2 linked regions of the Daphnia pulex genome follow. The protein of the gene in region 1 binds, or shares a complex with, the protein of each later gene. Links are inferred from orthologs where the notes say so. Each region holds a gene or a part of one and is shown in the gene's direction. Other genes may lie near its edges.

What was found.
Region 2: WASH complex subunit 4-like (region 1) and WASH complex subunit 3-like share a complex: the UniProt entries of both Homo sapiens proteins name them as parts of the WASH core complex. The link is inferred for Daphnia pulex from reciprocal best matches to the Homo sapiens genes WASHC4 and WASHC3.

What each region holds. Positions count from the first base shown.
Region 1 is NC_060026.1:1,372,613-1,380,414, reverse strand, and holds WASH complex subunit 4-like, read left to right. Parts: upstream 1-3,272; 5' UTR 3,273-3,447; coding exon 3,448-3,511; intron 3,512-3,578; coding exon 3,579-4,096; intron 4,097-4,162; coding exon 4,163-6,099; intron 6,100-6,172; coding exon 6,173-6,438; intron 6,439-6,508; coding exon 6,509-7,110; intron 7,111-7,169; coding exon 7,170-7,256; 3' UTR 7,257-7,391; downstream 7,392-7,802. Other genes in the region: protein Wnt-2b-A-like, read right to left, coding at 159-421, 628-916, 1,044-1,324, 1,403-1,641, 2,152-2,228; uncharacterized protein LOC124204736, read right to left, coding at 7,519-7,713, 7,784-7,802. UniProt on the Homo sapiens protein: Acts as a component of the WASH core complex that functions as a nucleation-promoting factor (NPF) at the surface of endosomes, where it recruits and activates the Arp2/3 complex to induce actin polymerization, playing a key role in the fission of tubules that serve as transport intermediates during endosome sorting.
Region 2 is NC_060025.1:877,515-884,189, forward strand, and holds WASH complex subunit 3-like, read left to right. Parts: upstream 1-3,608; 5' UTR 3,609-3,718; coding exon 3,719-3,769; exon of another isoform or gene 3,770-3,836; coding exon 3,837-4,001; exon of another isoform or gene 4,002-4,042; intron 4,043-4,123; exon of another isoform or gene 4,124-4,237; coding exon 4,238-4,615; 3' UTR 4,616-4,730; downstream 4,731-6,675. Other genes in the region: bacchus-like, read right to left, coding at 819-917; 60S ribosomal protein L44, read right to left, coding at 2,747-2,884, 2,952-3,125, 3,478-3,480. UniProt on the Homo sapiens protein: Acts as a component of the WASH core complex that functions as a nucleation-promoting factor (NPF) at the surface of endosomes, where it recruits and activates the Arp2/3 complex to induce actin polymerization, playing a key role in the fission of tubules that serve as transport intermediates during endosome sorting.

The sequences.
Region 1 (7,802 bases):
TGTTCAGATACTTAAAAATTGGAACTATGTACATCAATGCGCTCACCGAGACAAAGGTAAAGTAAAAAAAAGAAGAAATACTTCATAATAACATAATAATATCTGGAAATTATTTTTTGTTGTTGTCTAGTCAAAATTCAATATTTAATTCGGTTGTGTCATTTCTTCTGATTCTGCTGCTGCTGTTTGGTGGCGTTGAATTTGTTGAGTTCGAACGACTGCAGCGGCTTGCAAAAGTGCTCGTCCTTCCACTGGGTGCACGTCTTGCACTCGACCGAGCAGCACCACTTGAACGTGCAATTGCACGGCGTCGACACCAGCACTCGCCTCGTGTCGTAACCGCGTCCGCAGCACAGCAAATCGCATCCGTCGATACCTTTCGAGGTTTTATTACACGGTCTTCCGGCCGTCCCGATCGAACCTTTATTTTAAATTTAAAAATAAATAATTTGGTTTTAATTCATTTCAATATTTTTTAAATAATAAAATTTAAATCTAATTTGAATATTTTAATTTTAATTCATATGAATATTTTAATAAAGAATTATTTGGTTAATTCATTTAAATATTATTTGAATATTTAAATGAATTTGATTGAATCAAATTAGCATTTTTTGTTGAACTCACCAGTGAGGGGATCAAAGGAGCAGTAATCGGACGAGTGTTCCAGGTAGACGAGATCGTGAACTTGCGGCGGATTGGTCTTGAGACTCTTGCGGTTGTCGTTGAGATGGTCGGCCGTGATGAGGGTCGTGCCCGACGGGTCGGAACTGACCTCCAGCGAGGCGTCGTATTTCTCCTTCAGGTAAGCGCCGACTTCGCGGAATTCCGGAAGTGTCGTCCAGCAAGTGCGGACGTTGCAGGCGCCCGACACTCCGTGGCATTTGCATTGATGCCTCATCAATTTGTGAAGAGCCTATCAATTCAAATCAATTCATTTCATTTAATTCATTTATATTAATTCATTTAACTATTAATTATTTCATTTTTTAGTTGAATAATTTGTTAATTTCGATTGAAATTGCCAGTGAAAATTAAATTACCTTTCGACCGACTCGGTTGTTGTGGAGGTTCATCAAGGCCCTTGAGTCTCTCATCTTGCGCTCGCGGGCATCGATGAACTGACGGGCGAAATTGCTTCCGTAGCGGACGTTGGTGGAGCATCCGCCCCAAGCGAATTCGCCTTGCTGGTCGTGGTGCTTGCCCAGTCTTGTCTTGTCGCAGGCGCAGTTCAATAGGTCGCCGCGGTTGCAGGCCCGAGAGATCGAATGGACCACGCCGGCCGAGCTGATGGCGTACACAAAAGCCGCTTCTCGACTTCCGGCTGTTTAAACCCCAAAAAATGATTCAAGTTTAGTTTTATTTTAAATTTATGTACATACAAGATAAATTAGAGTCTTACATTTGACCAGGGATTTGCCAAAGACGGTGGCGTCCCTGTCGATGGTGGAGCAATTCCATCGGTGCTGGCGGAATTGGAATTGGCACTCTTTGATTCCGGTGGCGGCTCCCTCGCCAACCTGGACCATGTGATCCGGATGCTTCTGGCAGAGTCGTCTCTGCTTCCGCTCCATGCCCGGAATGTGATCGCAATACATCCGCGGATTAGCCGCCGTGCCCAGTTGAAATTTGCTCAAAAACCTGGGCCAAAAAATGGTAAGAAAAATAAAATCAGAAAAAGGGTTTTTTTATTTTATTTTCTTGGTTAAAATATGCTAATTGGTTTATAATATCCGTGCCCAAAAGTTTGACCGATATGCTATGATGATACCTATACACATAGTCCAGGGGATTTGGTCTCTACCTTATTACGAGAGCTGAGCTGAGCGGTGGTATCTTTATAAGTAATTACGGAAGCCTTATTTACACGCACTCACGCTCTTATCGCATAGACGCAATCGAGCGAACGTGAAATTGAGACACCCTTCAACCCTCAGGATTATATAGCATAGAGAAGCAACCCTAGCAAAATGGCTGTCACCGTTTCTCACTATCCTAGAAAATTTCGTTATAAACGTTGCCGGCCATCCAGCACTAGTGCAACTTCCCTAAATCGGTTAACCCCTTTCCCATCCGCTTCACCGTCCAGGTAGGGGGAAATCTATATACTTAAGCCCAGCACTCACTCACAAACGATATCTCTCAACTTACCACCAAGTGGACGAAGCGAATTGTGGAATGGTGATGACGGCCAGGAATAAGACACTGCTGATCCAGTGACAGCGCATTCTCTTTGATTGGGCGATGAGTTGATTAGATACAAGAAATCCGTTAACAGTATAGACACACACACACTGAATCCTCTCAATCACTCGGGAAGAAATCAATCAATCAGTGAGCCACCATAACACACACACATAGAACTGGCCGGCCACTAAACTAACAAAATATAAACAAAGCCGTACAAGTGTTACGATTTTCTGTTTGGGGGATAAATTGACTGTGAAAGTTTTGAAAAGTTGAAAAGAACTGGTGGTGGTGCTGCAAGTAGCTGGTGGTGATACTCGGCCGATGGCCAGAACGGGAATAAATACTTTGGGCCACCCAGTCCGGCTACATATACTTAGGTGGACCAAGAGGGTTGGGTGATGTCTGTGTGTGGGTGGAGCGAAATAAAATAAAGACGGGCGCCCAGGATATATAGATTCACAAGTTACAATTAATAATTTTTGGGTACTGGGGCGGAATCGTGAGAAAATTCTTCGATTTCGCACCTCATCCGCTATGTCCGATCCGTCGAGACCCTTGGCATATCTCAGGTGGGTTGTTTAAATCGAGCCGCTGTATATCTATGCTACTGCTGCTGGACCTGTCCGGTGTGGGTGACCTTGCGCGTTCACTTTTTTCTCACCATTTGCCCAGTAGTACGGTTGTCCAGGAAAGAATGTGGCACCCACCCAGACATTTCGGGGTGGTGCGAATAATTCACCCCACCGTCTAACTCCTCTCGTAATTCCCACTGGGGTTGTATAAAACAAGATCAACCCGGCGTCATTAGTTTTCATCATATTGGATTGGGGTGAGGGGGAGAGATTAATCCACCACCCCCAATCGATTGCTGGGCCCAGGTTCCCCGTAATCTATTTTCTCACGATGTTTTAGACCGTGGGAAACCATTTCGCCAGAAACACATCAAAATGTTTTTCGATTGACCATTTATAGTTGTTACGTCACAGTTATTCTTTGTTATCTCAATACCCTTGTTACACTAATGTTACATCATCGAAAGATGTAAATTAACCAATTTGGAAAAATTGGAACTGTTTCGATTTAATCCCATCTGGCAACTTTGTGATCTAGCAGACGACTTTGGTATTCCGAGAATTTGAAGATTCAGATTATTTTTTTGTGTTTCCAGAGCTTGTTTACGTGTTATTATAGTCACGGGCGTTTTTTAAATGATTTAATTGATTTTTATTGAAATATCGTGTTGCTTTGATTTTGAAAATGGTAGGGATGAATGGGAACTCGACAGTTTCCAACCACGAGTATGGGAGATATGCCGCAGAAAGTGAGTTGGTTTCTTTTTTAGTTGTGGTAATCAGTTTCACTAATCTTTTGCCCTTTTTTTAATGTAGAGGTGGCCAAAGAATATGTTGCAAGAGAATATAGCGAGTTCATGGTCAAGTGTGGCTCGGATCTGGAAGCTGTGTGTCAAATTCACGAAAATTTGAGCAAGGAAAATGTCAGTCAGACAGTCAGTCTGGATTTAGTTCCCAGCGAAGACATCTCCCTAGTCGACCTTGTCCACTCTGATCACGAAGAGCTGAGAAAAGTCGTCCTGGCTTTGGGGCATTTAGTCAGCGAGATGGACTTTCTGGTTGAAGAGGGGAGGTCCTTCTATTACCCTCTCCTCTATTACGGTGAGGGTGTGGACGAGAAAGCTCTGCAGTCTGGAGAGGGCCATGCATGTGCCGGTAGAATGGTCGAAACATTGCAAAAGTTGTTGAGCTACGTCAACTATTGCTACAAAGTGATCAAAAACATGGTGGGCCAGCTTTCAAGATTGTACTGCAGCTCAGACGCTGGACCAAAATACTTTGAGATTGGCGAAACCCATTTCAAAATCATTTTCGAAAGAATGGGATGTGTGCTGGTATTTTAATTCTCAACTTTTCTCTCAAAAATATCCCGAAACTAACACACACTCTTTGCTTTTCAGTCAATCCTTGTGAATTTGGATTCCATCATTAACCGAAACAACTTGCTGAGGGAACATGTTGCTCAGCTGCAGCATGTAGTTCGATCCATTCAACACAACGCCTCCAATTTCGACACGACGCCGGAAGATTTGCGGCTGCTGGACTTGTCGCTCGACGAAATCACCGAGAAAACTCTTTCGGGCACGCTCTTCCTCCGATGCATGAACCAGAGTTTCCCCACCAGCAACAACAAAGTCTTGCTGGACGAGATTTCAGCCAACGTCAAGGGCTTCCTCGAAGAATTATCGTTCCGTCTGGACAAGGAAGGCGAGCGGGACAATTACGAGAACATGCAAAAGTTCCTCAGCATCGTCTGCCTGTTTGTCCTGCACGCTCACATTGGCCTGAAAGTGGACAACCGCCAGCTCAAGACCATCCTGGATGTCGCCAAAAATTCCATCATGGCCGTCCCTCTGGTCGGGTCGTGTCTGTGGTTCCCTGACCAATTCTTGTCGCTCTATCTACCCCGTGGAGACCGGGCCGTCGATAGCAAAATGCTGGAAAGTGTCGGCTCTGCCCGGTTCCAGTACGTCCGCCAGCGTTCCCAGCAGCTGGCCAAAGACCTTCAAATGTGGAACACGAAAATCGTCCTCTGGCTGTCGAGGCTGAGCGGCCAGCACGTCAACAGTCAAGAAGAATTGACCAATCAGTGCTGTTTGGTCCTGCAGGGACTTCGCTACGTGGCCAAACTGAGCGGCGTCGTCCGTCTGATATTGAACCTCCACTTGGCCATCCAGCCAGTCATTTCCAAAGGCACAGTCATGGCCGCCTTTCAGACGTTTGAGCTCATCAAGACCTTGCAAAAGGCCATCGAGAAACAGCTGACGGATTACCCTCAAGCCTGGATGCACCTGCAACAGCAGCTCCGTCGTTCCGTCTCCGACGTAGTCCAGTTGGCCGCCAAGCGATTAGCCGGCGAGAAGAGCAGCAAGAAACGTCCCCGGAAGACGGTCAGCGCGGCTCTGGCGTTGGCCCAGCGAGTCCTGAAAGGTCCCTGCACATCATCCCGTGTTTCGACGGCCAGGATTTCGCTGGCCATAGCCTGCACCGCCTTCCAGGACGAAGAATTGTCCTTGCTGGCCCATCGCCTCCAGAAGATGGAGCTGCTTTCCGTTGGCATACGCCACCGCTTGAGTTACCTGGCCGATTGCGAAGTCTTTTACTGGCACAAATCTCTCCTCAACACTTACCTGCCGGAAGCCCGTGAAAGACGCTTCGAATCGTCCCGGATTGGACAGACTCTGATGGCCGTCATGGACTGTGAATCGGCTCTGGCCAGCGTCAAGCATCTGGCCAATCCTCGACAGCTGGTGGAAGGCCATCAGAAATTCATCCGCCGAGCCCTGGACGTCCATATTTTGGAGCCCCTGTGCGCCTCGGTCGAGACGGAATTACGGATCCAGTCGCACGCCCATCTCCACCCGACGCCCCGCAACCCGTTCAAAGAGTCGCCTTGTTTGAGCGCCCTGGGCGACTTGCCCCTGGGCCGGCACGAGCAGCTGAGCGTTCCCCACCGGGTGGAACACTATCTCGGCCAGACGTTCTACAATCTGGCCGCTTTGGCCTCTCACGATTGGCGCAAGTACGGCCAGATGAGACTCTTGGCCGGATTGGCTTTCAACCTGAAGCCGCTGCCCGACCGGCTGCCCAGCCAGACCCTGGAGCAAGGGCTCGACGTCCTGGAAATCATGCGCAACATTCACCTGTTTGTGGCCCGTTTCGGCTACAATCTCAACAACCAGTTCTTTGTCGAGCAGTCGAGCACCAGCAAACACTTGAGCACGATCGGCATCAAACACGCGGCCAATTCCATCAGGACCCACGGGTCCGGCGTCGTCAACACGGCCGTCAATTTCACCTACCAGTTTCTCCGCAAAAAGTTTTTCGTCTTTTCTCAGTAAATGAAATTTTCAGACTTTTATTTTATTTTTTAAATGTTGAACCGTTTGAATTTTTCCCGCCCAAAAAAGGTTCCTGTACGACGAGCACATCAAGTCGCGGCTGATGAAAGATGCTCGTTATTTGCGCGAGCTGAGCCAAGGCAAAGATTCGGCACTCCGATATCCGTACGAGCGCGCCGAGAAGTTCCATCGGGGCATCCGCAAATTGGGACTCAATTCCATCGGATTGAGTTATCTGGACCAATTCCGCATACTCATTACCCATCTCGGAAACGCTTTGGGCTACGTCAGGATGTTGAGAAGTGGATCCATCCATTGCAGTGCCGAATCCTGTGGTATTATTCATCATTCCGGCCGGATTAAAAAGATGTTCAACACAAAATGAATTATTTTTTTTTTTGCCAGCTCCGGTTCCGGATTTGGCGGAATTGGTTTATCTCAATGAAACTGGACTGGATCATCAACTGGGCAGCAGTGCCAGTAGCCTTAAAAACCACAACGATACGATGGACATGGCCGATGGATTATTCGAATCCTTAGCTAAATCTAATCCGGCTCTCTCTAGCCTATCCGAACTGTCCAGCAAAGCCCTGGACAAGGTGCTGGACGATCTGGCTCAGAATCTATCCGAGAGTTCCGACTATTTCAAACTGCTGGTGGACGTCTTCCGGCCGTTTTTCCGCGATCCTCGCCACTCTCACTTGCGCCATTTTTACGTCATCGTTCCGCCGCTGACGGTCAACTACGTCGAACACATCGTCACCTGCAAGGAGAAGCTGATGAAGAAGAACAAGCAGGAAACGTGCACCTTCACCGACGACGGACTGGCCATGGGATTGGCTTACTGCCTCTCCGTTCTGGACCAGTGGAAGGATTTCGACGCCCTGCAGTGGTTCTCATCCGTCAGGGAATTTTTCGAGCGCGAAAGGAAAATGGCCGGACTCCAATCGCAGGCCAGTCAGGACACGCTGAGTCTGACCCTCCACCGATTAGAAACTTATCGACAGGTAAAAGCTGGAAATCAAATCCTTGTCACATAATTTTATGATTTTTATTCGTTTGACAGGAATTTGATTTGTTATTCTACAACTTGAACAGCGCCAGGATCTTTTTCCGCCACGAACGGCCCGTTATTCCAGCATCTTCCATCTAGTCTCTTTCACATTCTCAAATAACACCGTCGTGGATCGAACAAGTTTATTAGAATTAACCAATCGAAAGCGGTGAAACACTTTTTCATTTACTTTCATTTTGTTTACAATTAATATTAAATACAATGGAAAAAGGATTATTTTTTCGGATCGAGAAAAACCCCACAAAGAAATGACGACGGAAGAAAACAAATTTTCGACTTGAATTATTTAAAAATTGTACGTTGAATTTTTCATTTAGGAAATTGTTTTTCCGGTTCATCATCAGACTGATGCTGATGGTGACGCGTTGACTAGTAGAGTTATTGCGCTGTAGATGAGGAAGAATGAGGAAGCGGTGGCGAAACTGGGCAGCATCAGGTTTTTGGTTGCCGCATTGCATCCGTCGCTCTGGCAAGTCAGAATGCATCCGGCCAGACTTTCGTGTTCGTATTTGAATTCTCCGCACTGGTTCTCCATCTGTAATTTTAAAAAATTCAAATTGTTTGTTTGTTTTTTATAATATTATTATTATTATTTATATATTTACGTTTTCCAGGGTACAGGTT
Region 2 (6,675 bases), on another chromosome or scaffold:
CTTGTATCAATTTAATTTGAGCATTTTTAGGCTGTGAAAGATAAACGAGTAAAAACGCTGTTGGTCGCTGTCAAAATGCCCGCGCGCAGTCTCTGCACCACCAACGAGAAATAAAAGCCGGCCGCTTGGCGTCATCGGTTCGATACCGAAAACTGCCGGTCGTGTGTGTGTGACTGGAGATTAACAATTTCAGTGAAAATAAATTCACGACATGTATCAAATGCATGAAAAATTACTTATTAAACATGTCATAACGACGGGACAATGACCTGAAGAAACTATCATGTACAACATAACAAATAAATGGAAAGTTATGTGTGTGTGGTGGAAGGAAGCTAAGGCAGCCCCAGCTTAAGGACAAACATGGCGGCGCGTCATCGCGCGCACACACACACACACACCGGCTTTTCGAGAGAGAAGTGAAAGGCTATCAAACTCAACGGCAACTCTGCTCAACGCGCCAAAATTCTCGAGTCCAACGCTCGAATTCGACTCTGACCAAATAGTTGTCACATAATTTCCCAAATATCTAATGATTACGATCCCTTTTTCTTAAAGAGTAAATATTCCAACAACAGTCATGGCGACGGGATAGAGCGTGGGGCTCAAGCCGGCCCCAGACACACGCACTCAACACACTACACACATACACACACACACACACACAAATGGCGGCAAGCACGCGGCGCGTGGGTTCTCGAGTTGATCCTTAATTTAGCCATAACGAAACCCCTCTTTTCCAACAAATTTCCTCGTTACAGACTTATTCAGAGCCGACATGAAGACAATGTAGTAAATAACAAAAAGATGGAACTTACTTCTGCTGGCCGTTTTGTGCCTTTGACTGCATCTTTCTTGGCGTCGGCGGCGATGACTTCGTCGGCTTCAACTTCCTTCGTTGCTTCCTTGGAACTCATTTTGTTTGGAGGTGTGTTGTTGTTGGTTGGTTGAGCGTGAATATTTAAGTGAGACGAAATCGAGTGGATTTTGCTCGACCGGTTCGAAAAATTATTTTAAAAAAGACTAAGAGAAGATGGAGAGTGCCTTAAAAAAGGAAGTTTGGCGCGTTCGCAAGAGTCTCTGCTTTCGAGGTGTTATAGACGGGACGGTGTAGAGCACACTGGTGGGGCCCCAAGTCTTTGGTGACTTGCATCGCCTTGTATCGGCCTCTAGCGGGGGGGTTGTCCTTAGCCTCGGGTTTTCGGTGGCAAAGCGCGTCCCTTTTGCATTTCGTGGCGTCTAGATCGAATCACAAGACCCCTGTTGTATACCAGCGCTCCAGCTGGATAAACTCCGCCCATTCCACTCTTTTCATTATGGGGAGAGAGGGGGGTAGAGGGGGTGGTAGGGTGGGGTTGGAAAAAGGTACCTTAAAAAACTCGGCTCTCCAAAGAGAACATATAGCCGTGTCGATATATTATATGCGCTGGGCTAGCCACGCTGCTACCCAGATGGCTCTGCTTGGAGAGTCCATTTTTCCCCTTCCTTCTCTCCATTCCTAGGTCTTCCAAGGTATTACCACCAGTATTAAAATATATATATATATCTCTCGCATGTATGCATATATACACTACTATACTATACCGGTATACTCAATGAGTGAAGCGTGGGGTGGTCAAAAAAGAACCAAGTCGAATATCCCCTCAAGCATAGCGAGAAAAAGCCGGTTCTGTGTAGCGTGGTCTCACTCTCGTACTTGGGATTTTCAACTCGGAAACTTTCCCACTGAAATTTTTCGAATTAAAAATAAAACTCTTGTTTTCGAATCGGTTAGCCGAAAGATAAATGAGAAACTCGCCGAAGCAGATTAGTAACTAGCACGTCACTAGACGTCGGTTGCACCACCAGCGTGATTTTTTAACCCCTCTACCGGCCATATTTTTACTGGTTTATATATCATGGGTAGTAGTTGTCTAGGCGGCGGATTGAGAATCCGCGCGAACCAGAAAACAAAGAAACGCTCATCTCACGTCTCTCCCTCATCTCCCGAAAATACCGGGTAGTTGACGTTCTTCCAACTAAAAGATAATAGCCTTATCTTCTCTTTATCCCCTACAGACGCTCAAAGCGTGGTCTACAACTAGATTGTTTGCATCAAACAGATAAATGGAAAAACTCTTATAATTCGTAACCGACTTGTTTATAACACACTTGTCATTTCTTTTTTTTCGAAATTATTTACTCTTCAACGACATTTTTCAAGTATTCTCGTACACTAAGAATGACCGGAAACTCGTTCACACGCATTTTAACAGACGCCATTGAATGCTTCACTCTTTTTCTATTCTTGTTCTCTCGCCATCTACAATCTTCGTTTTCTCTTCGACATGTACACCGCGAACGCGTCAACCAATGACGAAGAGTTTTCCTTATCGCTTTTTAGACGATCGAAGCGTTCAGTCTAACCGTCCGATTGTGGTGTCGAGTTGGAATCATCACTCACAGATGGCGTGATGGGCTTCACACTACTTTTCAAGAGCTAATTAGGATAAAAACTAAGGCAACTCTTAACTACTAAGAGCAAAGCTAGATTTAACTAAAGCTAGCAGATTTCTCACATGAATACTTGGAATCAATTGGTTGATTTTTCACCTAGCAAATATTTGAAATCAATAAATACCCAAATGTCTCGCATGGAGCCATTTCCCTACATTATCATAGGGATTAAGGAAAGTAATGAAGACTAATAACAGACTATAGGCGCCAAAGATGTTGTATTGGCCAGCACAAGGTGATGACAAACAGTCTAGAACTGAATCATCTGTCCCTTCCTCTTCTTGTCACCTCCAAGTTCAAAGTGCTTGCAACGCTTGAGGGGGATCTGCTTGCGGACTTTGCATTCTGAGCACTCCATCCTCAGGACAATCTTTTTAGTGGTCTTGGCCTGCGTAATTCAACAATGAGAAGCATTAGTACACAATTCAAGTGAACCAATCTTTAAGTCTTCATACCTTCTTCCTGAAAATAGGTTTGGTTTGACCACCATAACCCTTTTGTTTTCTGTCGTAACGACGACGACCCTGGGCAGCACTACGCTCCTTGGATTTCTTGTACTGCGTCACTTTGTGGACCTTGTGGGTCTTGCATTTTTTGCAGTAGGTGCGACGACTCTTTGGTACGTTCACCTAAAACGAGATCAACAAGTCATGAGCCGGTGTTTTCGACAACAAATTATGACAGTTTAAATGCACAACATACTTAACAACCACATACTTACAACTACAAAGAGAAATTTACACCTTAAACTTTTAAGTAATGCTAGTATTAACAGTCAAAATAACATGTCTAGTCAAGGTATCCATATGACAGACAGAGTGACAAAACAGATTTTATACCAGTCAAACGAAAAGTCTACCAATTGACACAGAATGCTAATAAACATCATCGAATTCTACTGCAAAAAGAGATGCTATATAAACATATAAGATGGTTAAATATCAAAGGATGTTGCGAGATATTAAATCGACGAGACTATACCATTTTCGGACGAACAGGCGAACGAAGTGGAAATGAGACAGAATTCTCTCCTCCGGATTGCAAGTGAACAACAGAGTTGCCTTGTTCCTCAAATAATTCGACCGCTGCGCCTGAAGGGGATGGATTCTGTGTCGTCTGCTAGAAGAAAAACAAAACAATCAAACGCGACATTTATCCCATGGATGTGATTTAATAATTCGTATATTCCACGTCGTTCTAATCAAGGAAGAAATACTAAGGGATGGAAAATAAAGGACTACCTTTTTTCGGTCCTACTGTCGAGTTCTCTTCGGTTCGTTTGTATTTTTCATTTTCGTTTAAATTGGATGATGGCAGTAACACATTTTAATGTTTGACAGGTTCCGCCCATCGAAACTAAAAGAATTTTGAGCTATTTCAACCAGTTTGTTTCCAATTCAGTTCAGTTACTAAACAAATTTGCAATTATATGTGATACCAAATTGCTGGATCTCAACTTTCGACTACAAGATGTTGAAGCCACATTAGCCATTCTCGAAGCAAAGGTAAATTCCTTCATTTAAACATTTCAATTCCACCAGCTCTTCTTTAAAGATGCATAAATAGGGAAAATTGGTATGAAATTAAATTTTCATGAGAAACAAATTTAGATTAAGCAAGACCATACCTACTCAGTTATTTAACAATACATGTCGAGCCAACTCACTCAAGTGTATCACTTTGGGGTATGTTTATCATTTATAGACAATGAATGGCTGATTCTTTTTTCTTTTGAAAACAGTTGGCTTCAGTTCCTGCACTGGAAACTACTTCAATACCGGCCATCCCACCTACAGTGCCTGCCACCAGCTCAGAATCTGTACCAGTGGCTGCAAGCGTTCAGATCCTTCCATCCGCCGTTCCACCAGTCTTTCCTGAAGATGTTTCTAGCGTCCACCAGACGGCGGTGGCGCCTCCGAATCCCGAAATCCTTCGGTTCGTCAAAATGCTTGCCTTTGGGGTTCCGTTAATGGCCGTCGAGCAGAAAATGCGAGCAGAAGGTTACGATCCATCGCTGCTCAACAGCGGCAAAGTTGACGTCACCAAGGCCCCACCAGCACCGCGATCAACCCATTCGAGCTCCGACGACGACGAAGAATCAAACAGCGACGACTATTAACACAAATAACAATTAATCATTTTCCCCGAGACTTATGAAATTTCAGTCTTATCGTGCCTGTATACTTGATGCATGGAGAAAGGATTCCGATCATACATAGACATAATCAATTCTCGATCGACGGTTGTAACCGGAGAGCCTTGATGAGAGAGTCCGAACGCGTGATGATTTATATGTTTGGCCCCACGTATAGACAATATACCACAACAACAACAACAACACTCTTGAATAATGCATGTCAAGAAAAAGAGTCACGGGCCCAGCACTCAGGCCGATTGCCAAGACTCGTACGTCCTTGAGAAAAGCTTCCAGTTGTGCGTTAGACGGGAGAGATGATCTCTCCGGACAGCCCACACGAGGATCCCGACAGCCAACCCCACCACTCGGCAGATCCAGCAGTTTCGACGTATCAAAGCCCCCCCCGCATATTGATTTGACAATGACACAAACAGGCCTCTAATATCGTGTTAGTGCTGCAAATCGTCGGTTGGGTTGGTTTTTTTAAATTTTTATTTTTTTTTTCATCCTCTCCCAGTCGAGTCAATAAAATGAAATGCAACTAAAAAGGGGTGGTGTATTTTTAGATAACACGGACCCGGCGAGTTTAATTTTAAAACAAGCTCGTCGCCCAGCTGTACACCTCGGAACTCTGGAGAAAAAGAAAAGAAGAAACTTGGAGCTCTTTTCTCCTAGAGTCAAACATTTTCCACGAAACCTATACACACACACAACACTCTTGGATATCGTAACATAACATTCAAATGTAAACATTGGTCTCTTATATGTATAGGTCCGAGTGGCAAGAAGAGAAAAACTTTGGCCCATTTGGAAAATAACAAGAACCCCATTTCTTCTAGCTCGCAGAGTGTGTGGTGTGGGGGCATCCGGCGGGCAACAGTAGCAGCCCATTGGACCCGATTTTGAGTTTCTTTTCTTTTATAAACGGAGACCGTCGACGACTAGCGTCCGTGGCAGGAGCGAAATGTGGAGCACGGCCGTGCTAAACTTAGAGCCTCTTTTTACCTAGCGACTGACTCACGACTCTATTTGTGTCGGTGATGCGGGCGCGGTGGGTGTCGATCGTCCCGACAACTTCAAGACAAACACACACACACACACTTACTTACTTGTACACACGATATATACTGGCTTGATATGTTTCAGCTGGGCTACAAGCGTGTGATTCATTTGAAGCCCAGGGATTGCTGGGAGAACTATTCGATGAGTCTTAACGGACAACATTTGAACGTTGATACGCACGCACGGCGTCAGCGATGAGCCACACCGCAATTTTGTTTTTGCTTTTCTTTTGTCCTTGGTGGCTCAAAGATGTGTAATCGATCCTGGAATGGACCGCGTCTATTTTCGGTTGGGAAAAATACAAACGAGAAGAAGAATGAAGATTCCTGATGATCTTTTTGTGCGCGCGGGGGTTTTAGATGGTTTTAAAAGCGATTCAGGAGCGATATCTTTGATGCTCAACACCTACTTGGGAGCAGTCGAAAGGAGGAGCCCTGCAGGAATTGAAAAGGATCTATGGGATCCAACCTTCTATCTCATATTGAGGTCTAACAAATTCTTCAAAGGAGGCCACACCAAAAATTCAAAGGCCAAGAATATCAGACAGCTCATTAGCTAAATGGCGGCTGACCCTTTTGCGGCGGTGTCCCGAGTGTGTGGCACTTTCCAGCTGGCACGGCCGGGAAATGGCTTTTTGCGTGACCCCGTCCCTTGGCTGGCTGTTGGCGTGCCATCTCATTTCCATAGTGGTTCCACAAAGGAGCTGATCATCTAGCAGGACGGGGGGGTTTCGTCATCGCGGGAGAGAGAGAAATGCTTCTCGTTCCAGGCGCAACTTTCTCAAGTCACACCCACAATTTGTGCGTCTGGAATCCTTCCGCCGGTATAGTAGCAGCGTCTAGCCGGCCCTATATTTGGGCATTGGTCGAAAAGGATATTTTTTCGGAAGATTTTTTTTTTGAAGAACGGCTAGGAGCTGCAGAGAATCCGGGCAATATCACGGGTAAACGGTTTCCCCTATATCCCCCCTCACTCCAACC